Coturnix japonica: one gene and its partner. The protein of the gene in region 2 interacts with the protein of the main gene of each other region in a biochemical or structural test. Links are inferred from orthologs where the notes say so. Each region holds a gene or a part of one and is shown on either strand. Other genes may lie near its edges.

The links.
Region 1: the proteins of TNKS2 (region 2) and LNPEP form a complex in vitro, tested with the Homo sapiens proteins (4 studies listed by BioGRID and IntAct, with this or other methods). The link is inferred for Coturnix japonica from reciprocal best matches to the Homo sapiens genes TNKS2 and LNPEP.

The regions. Positions count from the first base shown.
Region 1 is NC_029547.1:45,767,852-45,770,907, reverse strand, and holds part of LNPEP (leucyl-cystinyl aminopeptidase), read left to right. Parts: intron 1-757; coding exon 758-889; 3' UTR 890-3,056. UniProt on the Homo sapiens protein: Release of an N-terminal amino acid, cleaves before cysteine, leucine as well as other amino acids. Degrades peptide hormones such as oxytocin, vasopressin and angiotensin III, and plays a role in maintaining homeostasis during pregnancy.
Region 2 is NC_029521.1:17,311,459-17,314,958, reverse strand, and holds part of TNKS2 (poly [ADP-ribose] polymerase tankyrase-2), read right to left. Parts: intron 3,348-3,500; coding exon 3,161-3,347; intron 2,928-3,160; coding exon 2,806-2,927; intron 2,364-2,805; coding exon 2,272-2,363; intron 2,186-2,271; coding exon 2,107-2,185; intron 1,066-2,106; coding exon 894-1,065; intron 226-893; coding exon 146-225; intron 1-145. UniProt on the Homo sapiens protein: Poly-ADP-ribosyltransferase involved in various processes such as Wnt signaling pathway, telomere length and vesicle trafficking.

The DNA.
Region 1 (3,056 bases), on a different chromosome or scaffold from region 2:
CCTGCCATGAACAGGGACAGCACAGCTGGATCAGGCTGCCCAGGGCCTTAATCCAGCCTCCCCTTGAAAGTCTCCATCCACCACAACACTGCGTAACCTGTGCCAGTGCCTTACTGTTCTCACTGCAAAAGATTTTTTCCTTAAATCTAACCTAAATGTATCCTTCCTGAGTTTGAAGCCATTTCCCGTTGTTCTGTCGCCACAGTCCCTGCTAAAGTGTTTGTCCCCTTCTTTCCTGTGGCTTCCCTTTAGACACTTAAAGGCCTCTATTAGGTCACCTCACGTCCTTCTCTTCTCCAAGCTGAACAGCCCCAGTTCTCAGCCTATCCTCAAACCAGAGGCTTTGGTCTAGACTTTGTGAATAATCTGTGCTTTTCTTTTCTGTGGAACGTGTTCAGGGCCTTAAAGATTGCTGTACATTATTTTAGCTGTCAGCAATTCCAAAAAGCTGTTTTGGATGTTCAGTATCCAGTTAATGCTCATTAGAAATCTCAGAGTCTTTCCTAACAAGGCCCTGAAGTTCATCTGTTAAGAGTGGTTTAAGGTTTGGTCTGATGTTTTCCTTCAGAAAACTGGGACAGGGGTAGCTGCCTGTGATTTGAGTGGTAGAATTTCAGGTGTAACCATTGATTGATAGGTATAATACTGAGCAGGAATGGAAGGTCAATCTGACATGTATGTAGCCTTTGCTTCTGGACCTATTTGTTTGGCCAGCATTGATTTTAATTAAGACTCTTTCTTTTCTCTTGTTATGCAGGTGAAGACATTTTTTGAGTCAAAATCAGAAGAGAGCTCTAAACTGCGTTGTGTAAAAGAGGCGATTGACACAATTCAACTTAATATCCAGTGGATGGAGACGAACTTAGCAAAGCTACAAGAATGGCTGTAGTGCACTTAATGTTATAGTGTGCCAGCCAATAGGAAATCTGTGGACATCTGCTCCATTTCTTTTGCAAAAGCCAGGATGAAACCAGGCATCGCTGCAACATTGTTTGCACTATTAGAGAGTCTAGATAGCTCAGGGCATGTCTCACATAAAATTTGGTTTCCCTTGAAGCGTTTGTGTGCAGGATTAAATATTTATTCTGAAGCCATTTTCATCTGTAGACCAAACATCTCCGTGAGTGATGATACATCATTTTTTATATTTGAAGCTTACACCCTTAATTTGGAATCATGTTCCAGTTTCTCATCAGTGGAATTAATAATTATTTTTAAATGTAAAAATAAAGGTAGCTTCCACAGAAATTACAGAATCTGATGTACAACAGAGTCATACTCAAGATATCCATTAGTGGACTGAACCATTAACTGATGTTGCTGTGTTATTTGTGAGCAACTGCACAAAAGAACCATTGGAAGTGGCTGGAGGGTAGTTCATCTGTTAAAGTGACTACTGATTTCTCCACTTTTGACTGTTTAGTTTTCATTTCATCACTTGTTTCTGAGGTTCTGTAGTTAGTCAGCGTGTGTCAGCCACTTCATTAGGATAACTTTTTTTTTTCCCTTGCTTGTTACTTCCTATATACCTATATTGCAGGACAAATTGTGTATGCTGTTTCTTGTTTTTTCAACACAGTTCTAGGAATCTTCTCATTTAGTGCTTAATGGTTTCTTCTTACACTGTTGTGAAAAACCTGGTGAGACAAATCTGCAAATTCTTTAAAAGAAGGGGATCTAAAAGCAGAGATGTACCACATTGGAAAGGCAAAGTACCAGTTGTGCATTCTGTCTGCCAATCAGAAGCAGTGAAAAAGGCCATTTTTGAGGCTTCGTATATCCATACAACACATAGAAGATTAAGCGTACTTGTTTATGTGGAGATGTGATGATGTTTTTGAATGTTCCATTTCACTACTAATGCACCTTCTGTGGATTCTTGCAAACAGATTCACCTGTTGTCTTATTACAAGCCAATTACACGATCAGTTGTAAACTGCTGTGAAAGCGTTAACAGAAGTTGAATTGTTTGAACTAAATAAATTTAATCTACCAGTAAATTCTGAAGAAGGTGACACTTAGAATGTCACAGGTAATTCAGACTGAAGGCTTTGATTTATGAAATTGCAGCCTTGCCTGTACAGTTAATTCGCAGAAATGATAAGCTACGATAAACTTAAACCATGCTGTATTTTTCCCATCCTTTCAGTATGGGAAGTGCTTTCCTAGAAAAGAAGTTTCTCATTTTTTCTCATCAGCTCACATTAAAAATAACATTTGCAGTTCTAATCGTGAAGTTATCAGAAACAATGTTAGCTTTGAGAGTGTACAAATGGATGTTTGCCCAAGAGGCCCAGAAATGAACAGTTTTCACAGGTACTTCAGAAGGACTTGGTGGTGTAAGCACTGAAAGTAGGTCATAACATCCTGTTTCCATGCAAGTTATGCAATTAGAATTGTAATCAACTACGTTCTTTCGTGTTTTATTAGCCAGCTGTCACATCTTCTGGTTTTATTTCTGCATCTTATTTAAACCTCTGTGCTCTTTGCATAAATATTATCTCCATATTTGTATATTTGTGTGTACATAGTTATCAGTTTTGTTTTGCAGTCCCTTCTCAGTGTTAAATGCTTTCACTTTTCTATCCTCTCAGACTTGTTTTTCTTCAGCTCTGACTGGTACTGAGGCATATATAATTTTAGATGGAAACTGTGGAGGAAGATCCCCTCTTCTTCCTGACTTCTGCTGTAGGATTTTTTAACATTTTGTTCAGACGCTTTACTGATAGCTAGCTCTTTGCAAGGAAACTGCATGTGCAGCTCATCTTCAGAATGTGAACTGTACTAAGGAAGTCTGGAAGATCAGAGAGATTTTGGAGGAATTTCTGAATATTTTTTTCATTTTACTATTCTTTGGGGGTTTTTTGTTTTGTTTTTTATTTTATTTTATTTTTTTTAATTAAGCAATACTTTCACTATGCCATTTTTAGAGGACTTGATATTCTTTTATGTCATGTAATCTATAACTTCATTAAAAGTTGTACTGGAGTCTTTCAAGTGAAGTTCTTAAAAATGATCCTCTCTTTTTGAGATTATTGGGAACTGATGAGGGTTAG
Region 2 (3,500 bases):
TAGTTTTTGCACAATAGAAAGGTATTAGAGCAAATCATAACTTCACAGAAAGCAGTGAGAAAAGCTATTCATTTGTTTGTCTTTTCTGAGAAATGACAGTCTGGCATGTAATTCCCACTTATTTTTGGGACAGGATTAAGCTTACTTTTACAGTATCCACATCACCAGCCTTCGCAGCCTCCAACAATTGTCTATCAGCATCTGAATTACCTAGAGGGATTCCTTCTGCAAAAGAAATGACATTGTATGGCAGATGATTAATTGTACACAGCTGAAATAATTTAGGATAGGAAATAATTTCTGTATTTCAGGAATTTAAAGGAAGTCAAGGATTTAATGGAAAAAGCAATAACAGACAGGTTTTGTATTTTTTTTATGTACAGCTGTAGCTATTAGCTCAACAAGTGTTTAAAAAGTTGCCTACAGGAACATGATTCCTACCAATTTTAAAGTGCTGTGAAACCAATCAAAGTTTCAGAATCAGACTAGTCTGAAGAATCTTACTTACACATATAGTATCTAAACCTTACTCAATAAATTCTACATTTTTTCTTTTTAAACCCATTTTCCACTTACAAGTCTGTACCCTCCCTTCTGTATATCAGGACTTACACAAAATGGTTCCAGGTGGTTATACCATTTAACATTCTGAGCAGCTCCAACAGTCTGCATACCAATACTAGAGATTTAACCGTATCTATAAGCAGGACCTTTCCATGTGCATTTGGTTATGGAATAAGAATTGAATAACTGAAGACAGCTTTTACCTTTTGTAAGATGTACTTTTTTGTTGTTGTTTGTGCTTACTATTATTCTTTGACAGAACTGAAAATACCAAGTAAAATTTGCTATCACGTTACTTCCTAAATCCATCTTGAATAAATCAGCTGTACCTTGCAGTAGCTGTTGCACACTTTCATTCCCCATTTGTAAGGCTGTAAAGCCCTGCAGAGACACGATGGAAGGATCACATCCAGAACTCAACAGCAACCTGCAAGTCTGGAGGTGACCACAATGTGCTGCTCTGTGAAGAGAAGTCTGGCCAAGGTTATCCAATGCATTAACCTAAAGATAAAACAGAATCTTTAGAATATAATCTTAAAAGAAATAAAAACATCAAAACACTTAAAGCTATTTTCACTGCTGGCTGGGAGTGTTTCACAAGTATTCTTTCTACACTGATTAGAATAACATTCAGCATATTTTCAAAGGTCACGGCATTTCAAAAGATAAGATGAACAATAGCTGTTCATAAGGTTAGAACTGCATTTATAGAGGAAGAATAGACTCCTGTTAGAATTACCGGAATAATCCCACGTGCATGAACACGTGTGAACAAATAGTTACAGCAGTTTTACCACACATAGAAGTAGTCTGTAATTTTCACTATGAAGCAAGCAACTTTTGTGCCAGTGTGTAAAGTCACTTGCATCTATATTGGCTTATTGTAGTCTTTCAGATTTAGGGCTTTATAACGTTTCAGTCAAGGCAACCAACATTCAAAATTCTGTACCCAAAGGTTATCTGTACTTCCTACTGTTCCACTGGCTTTGATTATCACTTTGTAAACTTTACAGCAGTCCACATCCAAAGGCCACTTCCAAGTTTCCACAATGAAGAACTTAAAATACCATTTTGGAGCAACCCAAGCCCAAAATTACAGAGCATCTTCTTTCTACGTTCTCTTTCTCTGGAAATTTGGGTCAAAGCACTGTACTGATTTAACATTCTGCTTTCACTGTAATTTTTACTGCACACAACAGTATACCTGCTTCACAATTCAGACTAACCTCTTCTTCATGCACCTCCTATCTTTTCTTTTTTTTAAACAGAGTATAAATCCTTCTTGATAATACAGCACGTAATAAGATCTTCCACATTTTTAATTATCACTATAAAGAATTATGACTGCACACTCTATAAAACCAACCAAAGACAACGTCTTAAAGTTGTAAGTGTACTGCTGGATTGACACTCTGTCTTAAGAGTATATGTCTATAACTTCCAAAACAAATTTAGCCAAGTGTTTACTCTGCTCTCCATTCATGTGACAAGAAAAGAGAACAGAAATTAAACAACAAGAAAAGTACAAATATTAGCTCATACCTTAGCTTCATGTTTCACAACTACTTCAACAACATCATTATGAGCTTTTTCTGATGCCACGTGCAGAGGAGTCAAGAAGCTTTAAAGAAAAAAATATATATAGTTTAGAAGGCATTTTGCAAAATCTTCTGAACAAACATTTAGGAGGATTCACTTGCAACTCACTCTTTTGTCTTTTCGTTAATGTTAGCACCTTTCCTCAGCAGCAACTCACATACTTGTTTTCTCTTAGGATAAGGAGATGCAGCAGCACAGTGCTAGAAAAAACATTAACAACCATTAGCATTAATAACCAGTTAGCAACACAAGGTTTTATTACTTATTAAGAGCTGGTCGTGTGCAGAGTCAGCATAAAAAGAAATACACAAAAAAACGTATTAACTTAAGAAGTTCCAGATGAACTCTTCAGATTCATTCTGGTATTTTCCCAAATTCTCTCAGAAGATTCTACGCTTTACAAAGCTAACACACGTAACTTGCTAATACTCAAAATTAGTGCATTCTATAGAAGAGAATTTACACAACCTAAGTAAAAGAGGTAATTTGTATTGGTCTGAACATTACTCTTAAACAATTTATTTTTTTTATGCTTAACACTGATCTGAATTACACAACTATGCTGTTTAACAATGCAACTGAGTCCTCAACTATTGCCTACTACATTTAGTCAGTCACATTTAAGAAATTCAGAAATGTTACCAGTGCAGTCTCGTGTGTTTGAGGATGCTTGAAGTTAACTGTCTCCAAAGAAAGATGTTTCTTTATACGAGCAACATCTGATTCTCTTGCAGCTTGTAGCAGTGAGTGACCTTTGAATTCATCTTTAAAGAGAAAGACATACGAGAACTTTACATTCTTTAGCACTAGAAGGATCGATAAGATTGATTCTTTCAGTTAGAGGAAAGCAATCATTTTATTTCCTGATAGGAAATTCAAGGGGCTTCTTCCCCTGCTAGAGTCACAGGTGCATTCAACTTCCACTGGGTCACTGTCCAGGTAACCTAAACATACAGTGTGATCTAAAACTGAAGAACTGATCTCATTTTATACTCACATGCTAATCGTTCTTTTAATTGGGGCGTTGGAGCCAAATCAATGGTGCTTTTGTTGTGACAGTTCAACAGTGTTGGGTCAGCACCATAACTTAACAAAAGAGAACATACTTCCACCCTGTTCTTAGAAGCTGCTTCGTGCAGAGGAGTGAACTGCCACAGATCCATTGCATTCACACACGCTCCATGCTTGAAAAGGAGGAAAAAGGATACAATATCAAAACCAGATTTCTAGAAAAGGGCTTGCCAATGCAGTAGACTGTTCAAATAAAAATTAAAGCTAGTATGGAAATGGCATCCAAGTCATTCTCCAAATTTTCACATTCAATATTACAGCATATT